Linked DNA regions of Ovis aries. Each later gene encodes a partner of the first gene's protein in a complex. Links are inferred from orthologs where the notes say so. Each region holds a gene or a part of one and is shown on either strand. Other genes may lie near its edges. The genes, in order: GSK3B, AXIN1 and FRAT1.

What was found.
Region 2: the proteins of GSK3B (region 1) and AXIN1 are in contact, whole or in part, in a crystal structure (PDB 4B7T), measured with the Homo sapiens proteins. The link is inferred for Ovis aries from reciprocal best matches to the Homo sapiens genes GSK3B and AXIN1. Residues at the interface, in NP_001139628.1 of Homo sapiens: Ile228, Phe229, Val263, Asp264, Leu266, Val267, Ile270, Lys271, Asn287, Tyr288, Phe291, Lys292, Phe293, Pro294, Gln295, Ile296; in NP_003493.1 of Homo sapiens: Glu384, Pro385, Gln386, Phe388, Ala389, Glu391, Leu392, Ile393, Arg395, Leu396, Glu397, Val399, Gln400.
Region 3: the proteins of GSK3B (region 1) and FRAT1 are in contact, whole or in part, in a crystal structure (PDB 5OY4), measured with the Homo sapiens proteins. The link is inferred for Ovis aries from reciprocal best matches to the Homo sapiens genes GSK3B and FRAT1. Residues at the interface, in NP_001139628.1 of Homo sapiens: Tyr216, Ile228, Phe229, Ser261, Gly262, Val263, Asp264, Leu266, Val267, Ile270, Lys271, Thr275, Pro276, Ile281, Tyr288, Thr289, Glu290, Phe291, Lys292, Phe293, Pro294, Ile296; in NP_005470.2 of Homo sapiens: His200, Leu202, Leu203, Leu206, Val207, Ser209, Gly210, Asn211, Leu212, Ile213, Lys214, Glu215, Ala216, Val217, Arg219, Leu220, His221.

Annotation. Positions count from the first base shown.
Region 1 is NC_056054.1:185,712,895-185,716,637, forward strand, and holds the start of GSK3B (glycogen synthase kinase-3 beta), read right to left. Parts: upstream 2,687-3,743; coding exon 2,599-2,686; intron 1-2,598. UniProt on the Homo sapiens protein: Constitutively active protein kinase that acts as a negative regulator in the hormonal control of glucose homeostasis, Wnt signaling and regulation of transcription factors and microtubules, by phosphorylating and inactivating glycogen synthase (GYS1 or GYS2), EIF2B, CTNNB1/beta-catenin, APC, AXIN1, DPYSL2/CRMP2, JUN, NFATC1/NFATC, MAPT/TAU and MACF1.
Region 2 is NC_056077.1:858,682-862,324, reverse strand, and holds part of AXIN1 (axin-1), read left to right. Parts: intron 1-2,899; coding exon 2,900-3,040; intron 3,041-3,643. UniProt on the Homo sapiens protein: Component of the beta-catenin destruction complex required for regulating CTNNB1 levels through phosphorylation and ubiquitination, and modulating Wnt-signaling.
Region 3 is NC_056075.1:18,395,944-18,399,674, reverse strand, and holds FRAT1 (proto-oncogene FRAT1), read right to left. Parts: upstream 2,849-3,731; 5' UTR 2,671-2,848; coding exon 1,840-2,670; 3' UTR 267-1,839; downstream 1-266. UniProt on the Homo sapiens protein: Positively regulates the Wnt signaling pathway by stabilizing beta-catenin through the association with GSK-3. May play a role in tumor progression and collaborate with PIM1 and MYC in lymphomagenesis.

The DNA.
Region 1 (3,743 bases):
GCCTCACTATTCACAACATACTCTACTACTCCCTAAAAGGGCTCTGACGTCTGGTTTCTAATTCATCAACTTTGCTGCCCAAACCATCTTCAAATATTTTGTTCATCAACCTATAGTAAATTCCAAACTCTCTTGAATCTCAACCATAATCATAAGCCCCCTCTGCTTTCCATCAGTTAACATATTTCTCAAATTCCATCTCTTCTTATTTTCCTATTTAGGCCCCTTTTATTCAGATTTACTAACCTGCTTTATAAATACAAAAATACAAAAGTCACCATCTCTGTGCCTCTGTCCATTCTGTCCACCTAGAATCCTTTATGCTTCTCAATATAAGTTACTGCCTCCTTTAACACCTGCCTTAAAACATACCTCTGTAAGAAGTCTTCTCTCCAAGCCATCTACCTCATGCCTTTATTTTTTGTTCCTCTGAACAAAGTATTCTATTTGCATTTATAATCTTGCAGTCATCATATTACTGTTTTCACGTTTTGTCCCATAATCTGCCTCAAAAACTGATAAGCTTTTCAAGGCAAGGACTATAATTTCTTATCGCTTAAACAGGGGTCCCTTAGAACACCAGCATTCCAACAAAGGCTTTCTTCCAAAATGTATTTAAAGTTACGGTTGTCAAAAACACATAGTCAACACTGAACTCCAATCTTTTAAATGTTAAGCTGACCTATATGGTAACAGAAAAGTCAACATTTTCACCTGCACTTTGCAAGAGTTACTCCATCTTCAGTCAACATCCACAAAGGATTCATAGAAAATCCTGTGAACTAAATGAAAAGTCCCCAAATTTAATATTATTAGGTATCCCATTCTGCTCTCTGAATAAACTAATTACCTAAAATTGATTTCAAGTGGTCTTTAAACCAAGATGAAAAACATCCTAACACTCCAGTACCACAAGAGGCTCTTAAGGAGCTATTATAAGATTTGCTTCATCATAGCTGAAAATTACCCCAGAATTTTAAAATATTCCTCTCAAATGACCCCATGAAGTGCTTAGAAAGCTTGACCATTCCCTGAAAGATGCATCATCAGCTTCCCTCTTCACATACTCTGCATTCTGAACTAGCTAGTCACCAAAAAAAAAATTTAACTCTCAAAAATAATCTCCCATTCAGCTATTACCTTAGACTACCCTGTTTCAGACAAGTTCCAAAAGCCACCATGAACTGAAATCCTGAGTTCAAGTAAGAGTGTTCATTTTATAATCAATTTCACATAACAGCATATACCTTTTTAAAAAAAATCTCAATTCAATTCTCTCCTTCTTCTAAGCAGTAAAAGTTTTTCTTTGCCCTCATTCATGCTCCTTTCTGAAGGAATAAGGAAACTATAATAGATATTTTTGTCGAATTCTTTAAGTATATTTAAATAAACTGACATTAAATATCACATAAACATATCCATAACTAGAGATACGTTAAAACACTGGATACTTAGTATACCAAACACTCAAAATAGACTTTTTGAGCACAAATCTGGGAAGAGAGTATAGACGTCTAGCAACAGCCTTGAACAAAGCCCAAATACCTCTATTAAATCTGGGACCACAACCTTCTGCAAAACCTATGATGATAAAGTCTAAATCCATATTCTTCTAACTTCATAGCCTTATCTGAATTCGAAAGGAAAACAATGCGAGAGTATTGTAAGCAGTCCTAAGAAGGAACATCTGAACTCTAGATCATTTAGCAAGTACTGAAAGCAATGGCACCCCAAAGCTGAACTTTAATGATGAGTCAGTGACAATTAACATTCAACTTACTATTTAGCAACATGACAATATAAGCCCCATTCAAAACTCGGACCTACTTTCAAGTTACCTTTTGATTAAACATTAACTCTATAGTGGTAGATTGGCAATGTCAAAACGGTAAGGTTAAGAGATAACATATTAAACCGCGTATCCAATTTAGAACAATGCATGTTGAGATACTACTGCTACTGAGTATCTATCAGCGGTACCCGTCCCTTCTAAAGAGACAAATCAAAGCTCGCCTTCCAACCGAAATGTGGTTACTTAGCGAGTTCATCTCTGGATTAAGAACAAACACTTTGTATAGTCACACAAGTAAGAAAGAAATGTTAGGAGACGGTGACATTCACCTCTTCCATTAAGTATACAAAACTATGGTAACCCTCGAGACCTGAGCGAACTAAACTATCCCTCATTCCAAAAGACACACTCTGGAAAAGCACATAATGGTTTATGAGTCTTGTCCTTCGCTTTAATCAAAAGGATGAGCAAGTAAACACTTCCATCACTATTTTAAGGTGGAAACACTCAACCACTTAATAAAGCTGACTATCAATTGCTAGAAAACTGTAAGAAAAGAACTAAGTTTCAGACAGAATCATCTAAATAAAAATCCCATTCCCCCGATTCAAGGTTAATGAGACCGGAGAAGGGATATGGGAGGAGGAAAAAAGGAAGCTGCCTCATCCTTGACTGAAGACAGGTTTTTGCCCTTTCCCATTACCTCTGTTTTATCAGCAGGTCTCGTATTTTAAGATCCTGGTATTTCAAAGTCTCTTATTCAAAGGGGAGGTGGAGAAGGGGTGTAAAATAAAATCAATACTCACTGCTAACTTTCATGCTGCCAAAAGCTGAAGGCTGCTGCACTGGCTTGCAGCTCTCCGCAAAGGAGGTGGTTCTGGGCCGCCCTGACATGATCACTCTTTTACCGAATCACCTTTTTTCCTTCCTTCCTCCTTTTCTTCCTTTTGTTTTATGTTGGGGTGTTAGGTTAATGATAAATGCAGCATTAAGTTTTCCCACAGGAAAAAGACTTCGTCCTCTTGCCTTTTCACTCCTTTTGTACAGCTATTTAAAAAAGCGAGCGATGTATTTCTCCTTGAAGACAGATCAGTACGGATATTTAACATATAGACGATCCGGGGCTGGGAAAAAATTACAATTCTTTCCCCTCCTTTTCCTTGGAGGGCAGAAATGGGTGGGAGATCCTAAAAAATATATATCACGTGAAACGGGGACAAATACTGGATTGAAAATAAGTACTCTGAATATTATATTTTCCTCGGGGATTTTTTTTCCGAGTCAATGAAGAAGGGAAGCGGCGGAAGGATCACGAGTCTCACGCTTGAAAAGAAGGGGGGATGGGAAGGAGGGAGGGAGAGGGAGGGGTGGCTCGGAGATGCGTCGGGAAACGCTGCGGCTCCGGCAGCGGCAAGGATCCGGCGGGCTGACGGTGGGGGCCCGGCGAACTGGAAGGCGGCGGAGTCGCGAGTCAGTCAGAGTCGGGCGGTGGCGGCGGCTCTTCCCCTCATTGCGCCAGGAGCAGCTGCAGGCGGCGGCTGGATCCAGCGGCCATGGCGGCGGCGGCGGCGGAGGCAGCTCCCTTCAGACCCCAGGCAGCGGCTCCTCGACTGCTCCCCATACGCCGGGGACATGGGAACCCGGCAACCGCTTCCGTCCCTCGGGGGCCCCCTCCCCCGTCCAAGGCACCAGCGCGGCCGCCCTCCCGCCCCTCGCTTCTGCACAGTCCCGCTCAGGAAGTGTCCGCGCTTTGCCCCCAGTCCGGAGCCCTGTCAGCGGCTGCGGGGTCGGCTCCTCCTCGCTTCCTTCCTTCCTTCCTTTGTCACTCGGCCCGGGCGGCGGCGGCGGCGGCGGCAGCAGCAGCAGCAGCAGCAGCAGCACGAGCCCGCATTCGCCCGGGTCGGGGGCTGCTCTCTGTGAGGAGTGCCGTCTGCGCAGCCGCCTAGCTCTT
Region 2 (3,643 bases), on another chromosome or scaffold:
CACGTGGGCTCTTAGTTCCTCAACCTGGGGTCGAGCGTGCACCCCCTGCAGGGGAAGTGCAGAGTCTTACCTGCTGGACTGCCAGGGGACTCCCGAGTGGACCTGACTCTGACCGTGTGTTGCCTGGGAACAGGTAGAATGCAGGTAATTGGACCTTGATGCATCAAGGGTGCCTGTTGGTAATCCCTGAAGGAACCATTGAAAGAACAGTGAAAGAGCTACTCTATTAGAGGCAGGAGACAGAAAATAGAAAGTATTCCAAAAGAAGGCAAGGAGGGACACAGGAAACTAGAACAGCCGTGACTGGCAGCGAGCAGTGAGCCGGCGGGTCCACTCTGTCGTCACACTGAGCGCAGCGGGACCGGAGAAGTGATTCAAAGGAAGAACGGTCAGACCAGATCGTGGGGAGGCCGCTGCTCAGGAAGGAGGCAGAAGCGAAAGGACGAGGAAGTTTTCGAGTGAAAGCGTGGAGGGCGGAGTGCTGCACTCAGCAGCCCCAGAGGCCTGGCGGTCCTGGGGGTTCTGTCGTGAGGTCTCCCTAGATCCCACGTCCGAGTTCCGGTTCCGGCCGTCCTGTGGGGAGCAGCCGGCGGTCCCCGAGTGACGTTTCGCAGAGCTTCCTGTGTCGCGGCACTCTGCGGCGCCTGTCCCGAGGGCTGGCCTCGCTGCCGGGCCCTCCTCCTCTTTCTCCCCACGCACTTTCTTCCCGGTGTGTCTGGACGTGGAGCTGTGTCTGTGCTGGGGTTTGCTCAGCACTGGCGGCTGGGGAAAGAACCTGTTTCCCCTGCTTGTCACCTCAAAGCTGGGTTTCCTGGGCCCCGTCGGGGGAGGGCACAGGCGGCCCATGCAGGCGTTGGGGTCACGGGCTCGGTCCTGCCCTCTTGGGAAGGGTGAGGGCCCGGGGCGTGCGGCGGCTGGCCCTGAGGTAGCGGGACATGGAGGGGCGCCTCAGCTGTCCGTGGCCTGAACTCCAGCGCGGTAGCTGTGTTGGTGGTTGTGTTGATGGTTTGTGTTTAAACAGCCAGAGGAATAGCAGTGCCATTTAGGGAGAGCGTGGGGCTGCAGATGTGGGCTCCACGTCAGCGCGCGTGTGGGCCCAGGATGGCCCCTGTCCCTTCCCCAGAGCCTCTGGGCCCTGCGCCCGCCCTCATTTGGTGGGACCCGGCTGCTGTGGGGGCTCGGGAGGACCGTGATGTGGGGTGACGAGCCCGGGTCCTGACCTGAAGGGGTGGCTGTGTGCACCGTCACCGTCCTGGAGGTGCCGTGGCTGCTCTGCTTTTGTGCTTGGCGCCCGGGAGGTGGGCTGCTCACTGGGGTCTCTCCAGCAATCCTGCCTGGCCCAGCCCAGCTCACGCGTCCTGCGTGCACGGCTCACACCAAGGTGTCCCCCAGGGCCCCGTGGATGCAGAAGTGCTCTGTTCCCTTCTCTGCATCGAGCGCACGGGTCCGCGGAGCCAGTGCGGCTGCCATTCACGAGCGCCCCGACCAGGATGAGGCTGCGGTCAGAGCCCTCCTCATCATGTGCCCCCTTCGCGTGACCTTTGGGGACTGACCACCGCTGCTTCCAGGCGGCTCAGGGGAGAGCAGGTGGTGCCGGGAGCCGTAGCTCTGAGGGACTGGCGGGGCCTTCGCGGGCTGAGCAGAACAGAGACTCCAGAAGGGGCGCGTGTGGGGCCAGGTGTGCAGGGATTCAGGGCGCGGCGGTGACGTGCTCAGTGCCCGTGGCTGGCTCTCCATTCCGATGCAGAGGAGTAGGTGGGTTTTACATGCACGAATTTCAGGTAGCGATCTTAGAAAGCAGTGAAGTACTTGGAGAAGAACTGAGGGATATGTTTATGATTGTCAAATGAGGAAAGTTGACCTATGTAAGATACAAAAAAAAAAACCTGTAAGGAGAAAGATTGGTAAGTCTGATTTCACAGAAGTAAAGTTTTCTAATACCAAAATCGACATAAAGTTAAGAAGTGACATTTAGGGAGGAAGTATTTTCACGTATGTAACCAGAGGTTAATAGTAAGAATATTTAAGTGAAAGTCGCTCAGTTGTGTCCGACTCTTTGCAACCCCACGGACTGTCCATGGAATTCTCCAGGCCTGAATACTGGAGTGGGCAGCCTTTCTCTTCTCCTGGGGATCTTCCCAACCCAGGGATCGAATGCAGGTCTCCCGCGTTGCAGGCAGATGTTTTACCAGCTGAGCTGCAAGGGAAGTTCAAGAATATTTAAAGACATCTGTAAATCACTAAGAAACTCGTAAACTGCCCAACAGAAAATAGACAGAAGGTATGAACAGGTCATTTAAAGAGGAAAGAATTAATTTAAGGACATCTCCGTGCTGCCCCTGCTGACCATCTGCCAGGGAAATGCAAGCTGTTAGTGTCGGTTTCTGGCTAGTTTGGCGCCCCACGGTGGCGCGTCCCGCCCGGGGGTGCAGGATGGGCCCTGCTGTCCTGGGGAGCAGCATGGCGGCCGCTCGCACACCCACGGCCCTCGTGCTCGCCCGCGCTGTGCCAATGTTCAGGCTTGTGCCCCGGACGCCTGGCTGGGGCCCTCGTGGACGGCTGTGGCACGGGGCCGGGGCAGGGCGGGTGCGCTCTGTGGGTCAGTGAGTCTGCGGCTGCAGGGGCAGGGGCGCGGAGCTGGTGCCCTATTTCTAGTTACTGGCAGAGAGCACGCGTGTGCTCACGGGCACAGCTGCCCAACTGCACAGGGGAGGCGTGGGGTGCCCGTCTCCCCGGAAGCATGGGGGTGGGGGCAGGGCAGACCCACGGCCTTTTCTGCCCTGTCTCTTCTGAAGGCTTTGGGTCTGTAGTCCACGTGCTGGGGTCACCGGTGATTCTGAAGAGGATCAGTGCGCGGGGACGTGGCCTGGCGGCTGCTAACATACCTCCTTATTGGCAGGTGTGGACCGTGGCGGGAGCCCGTCAACCCCTACTACGTCAACTCCGGCTACGCTCTCGCCCCTGCCACCAGCGCCAATGACAGCGAGCAGCAGAGCCTGTCCAGTGACGCTGACAGCCTGTCCCTCACCGACAGCAGCGTGTAAGTGCCCGCCGCCCCGCCCCGCGCCGCGGGCTGCTCCTGGAGGCCCTCCTGCAGACCACAGCCTCGGTGGCTTCCCTCCAGGCGAGACGCCGAGCCGCCTGGTGGTGCCCAGCCCTGGTCTCGGTGCCGGTGTGTGCAGTACGTCCAGAGCGGGCCACCCCAAGGCATCTGCTCTGTGCTTGCCCCCCTGTGATCTGGAAGCCGTCTCACCCGATTGGCAGGGCTTGTCGTCCCCTCGGTGTGGCTCTGTGCCGGCCGGCTGGGGCCCTAGAAGGTGGCATGAACCCCTGTCCAGGGATGCCTCCCCTGGGGAAAGTGCTCGCTTCTGACACCTTTCTCTGGTTCGCCAATGACTTTGGGGACCTTGGTGCAGGTCAGGATGTGATGGTGTCACACCTGCCCATGTCACACCAGGGCATGGCTTGTCTGCCTGCTGGGGCCCAACTCCACTGCCTACGTGCATCAGGCTTGCCTGCGTTCAGTCACACACCATTTGCTGTCTCTCTGCCCCGACAGGGAGGTTCTGGCTTGGAGCCAGCAGGTGGGTGGGCATCTACCCCCGCAATGGCGCATGGGTTGCGGCCCTGACCCTGTCAGCGG
Region 3 (3,731 bases), on another chromosome or scaffold:
ACTAGTAATCCAGAAGCTCTAAGGTTTTAGTGAATGGGACTGGTCCAAATCCTGACCTCACTTTCATTTAATTTCATGCCAGCACCAATACACACCCAGCCGGCGCAGACCCTAACTAGGGAGCTGCTCAGACACAAAGGCGCTCTAATTACCATCCACAAGCCAGGCCTGACAAGGATTTCAAGTGTTTTCATGTTTATGGAGATCAGAGAAATGTGTTCTGTGCATCTTTCCCACCGCTGACAAGTATAAAATAAAACCAAACAAAAAAACCAACACATTTATTAAAAACAGATATTTCAGTTAAGTTAACATCCTATAATCAGGATAGCCACAATTCCAGACACTCCGGTGCGAAGTGTAGGTATGTCAATAGCCACATCTGGATGACGAACATGCCATTGAATCTTATACAACTAAAACATCAACAATACCGTCTTAGAGCCTTTAGACTGCGTTAACATTGTTACGAGCACTTCACCAGGTTCACAATGGCAAATTCTGCAGCTTCTCCATTCGGAGGGTCACATTTTTTTACTCGGTTTCCTTCACTTACAAAGGCAAGCTGGCACGGCTGGGGGGAGGGGCAGAAGGAGGAAATCAACTCCATCTATCCAGGGAATTGCAGCTGTTATTGCAAATGGCCCCGGAGAGCCCATTATAAGCTGCTGCGCTAGGCTGTGTGTCCCTGGAGTGCCCCATCACGTGGTGTCTCCCAGCCCCCAGCCTGGGCCCCCAGGAGCGGCAGCGCCACCAGCTAGAGTTGGACAGCACAGCGGAGGGGAAGAGGAGGGACTCGAGGCCAGTTCTCCGGGCAGTTTCCGTCAAAGTCCAGGGCGCGGCCGCCCGCAGGAGGCACCGGCGCCTAGCACGTCGCCACCTCCCTCAACCCGCGGTGGCAGCGGTGCCCGTGTCCTCAGAAGACTCCAGCACTTGCAAAACACCGCGTACTACTCCGAGTACAGGCAGAACCGGGTGACTCTGCCCTGCTAGAGCCCCGCAATCTCGTTTGCGCCCAGGAAATGGTGACCTTGAACCCGAGGAGGGGCGGACAGACGGTGAAAATACACATTCAAGAGGACCGCGGGTTCGCTCCGCGCCGCGCCCTCACCTTTCCCCAGGACCTCTCACCCCCACGTCCAATTAGCATCCCAGGTGCTCCGCCTTCCCCCGCCGCTCTGAGAAACGCTGACAGTCGCAAAGCGGGTGGGGTGGGGGTTCGCAGAGAAAAGGTTACTTCTATTCAGTTCTCCAAAATGTCCTTTCACGGTGCCGCGTGTTTTATACCAAGTACAAGCACCTCAAAATACACGAGATAGGTGTTTTGTTTTTTTTTAAAGTGTCGTAAAATTTCAAGTCTGGCAGTTTGAGGTACTCCCTTAAATGATCTACAAATGTTCCCCTCTCCTAAAGTGAATCAGGAACCAGCCTTGGAAAGGTAAAGCAAGTAACTGGGGTCATCCTTGGCCTTTGGGCGCTCCGCGATCCTGTGAAGCATGGACTCCGGCCACGTGGTTGCCAGGTTAGAGTACCCGAGAGGCTGCGTGGAACCGCACGCTGCGCCACCAGGGCTGGTCACACCAGTGAGGAGTCCTACTGACTGCGAGCTTGGGGTGCACTCTGTAATCTGCCTTCAGTGGCACCAACGAAGTCAACCACGTCGGGGCCCTAGACCTCAGTTCCCGCGAACACATTCTCAATTTTTCGATTCCTCATCTTCATATAAGGTATTTTCCCGCTTCCGGAAGTGCGACTTCACCAGTTTGAGTAGAGATATAGCCCTCAGGGGAACCCCTTGCCCTTCAGGCAGAGGCTCGCGCAGTGGCCACTCTCGAGGTGTTAGCTGCCAGGGACTAGAACGCTGTCGCCTGTTCTGAGCTGCGCCCTCCTCCCGGACGCGCCGGGGTCGCTGCAGGCCGCGCGAGGGCTGCGGGGCGAAGGGGGCTCATGCACTGGGGCCGACAGAGGGCCCAGGAGCTGGCGCTGGGGGAGCTTTGCGTGCAACTGCAGCCGTCGCGAATGAAGCCTCCGCACCGCCTCCTTGATGAGGTTTCCCGAGAGCACGAGCTGCTGCAGGAGCCGGTGCGGGTCGTCGTCGCCGTTGCGGGCTGTAGGCTGTAGCCCGCGTCGGTGCTGGAGGCGGCGGGAGGCAGCGGCGTCCCGCAGCCAACCTCGCCGGCAAGGGCCCGACAGGGGCTGCGGGGAACCCCGTTTGTCTGCTCCCAAAGGCCCGTCAAGGCTGGGCTGAGGGGGCAATGGGGACAGCGCGCTGGGGCCTGCGGCGAGCTCCGCCACAAAGTAGGGCGCAGCCCGGCCCCGCACGCGGCCGCGGTCCCCGAGGGCGCAGCGCAAGGCCCCCGGGGGCGCCGGGCCCCCAGCCTCGACCGACGCGGCCGGTAGAAGCAGCGGCTGCGCTGGGGCCCGGGCCTTGTCCGCTCTCACCGCCGCCGGGGGCCGCGGGGGCTGCAGTGGCGGCCCCGGGGGCGCGCACGCGGAGGCAGGGCGGTCCTGCGCCGCGTCCAGCTGCAGCGTCTCGCCGATCTGGGCCACCAGCCGGTCCACCTCAACCGAGCCGCCCACAGTCACCGACTGTTCCAGCAGTAGGAAGCTGTCCTCCTCCTCCTCCTCTTCCTCGCCGGCTTCCTCTTCCTCCTCCCTCCGGCACGGCATGGCCCCCGGCGCCGGCACCCGGAGCTGTGCGGGGGTCGCTGGCGGCTCGGCTGTCCCGGGGGCTCGGTGGGCCGCGGCGAAGCCGGGCGCGGTGCCGAGGCCAAAGCCGGAGCCCGGGCGGACGCGGAAGCCGGAGCCCGCCAGGCACTCGCGCCGCGCGCCTGCAGCCGCGGGAGCCGGAATCCTACCGGCTCGGGTTGATTTGTAAACAATGGGTGACGTAGCCGCCGGGCCCTACCACCGGGCCGAGGAGGGGTGCTCCGTGCATTTGGGGGCCCGGGCAACCTCTGGGCAAGAGTCGTGGGTGAAGCCTTGCTCCCTCTGAGCTTTACAGCCCTGATTGCTGTCTGCGGGGGGAACTGGGGAGCCGATCTTCGCTCTCTGAGCCTGGCATGATTGACATATCCAGAAGATGGACACCGGCGTGGCCTCTGTTGGTTTCTTCCACACACAAGCACAGACACTTACACCCACACACCCACACACTTCTCTAGGCGCGTCAACGTGTCTGGTTTTGGCATTTACGCTTTTGAGGTTAGGGATGCCGGCATTTGGGAAGTGATGGCAGCGTGAGTGAGGCGAGTGATGGAGAGAAGGCGTCAGGCTAGGGATCTGTCTGGAGATTAGGGAAACGAGGCTGACAGATGAAAAGGAAGGGGACCCTGTGGTGCGATGGGGGTGGCGGATTGGAAATTGGCAAAGAAAAGCCACTGATTCGTGTTTTTTTGATCGGGAGCGTGGGTATGTGGGGACCTGGACAGTTACTGTAGAGGAGGTTGCTCGTCTTGGGGGGAGCGGCGAGCTAGAAAGTTCTTTTAAGAAGAATGACTCAACCCAGTAGGGGAGTATCCTTTCTGAAATGGGTAGCAGGAGAGGAAAACGGTCAGCTATTTGGATGGAAATGGAGACACGGCCATGGTAACCCTCCAAGATATCCTGGTTGGTTTAATGATTAACCAAGACTTCATTTTTTAAAAGAAAGAGAGATAGAGAACGATTCTTTATCATCGTATTGTTTGGAGTTTTAAAACCTGTATTAAAAATCCCAAACCCCTCAGGCC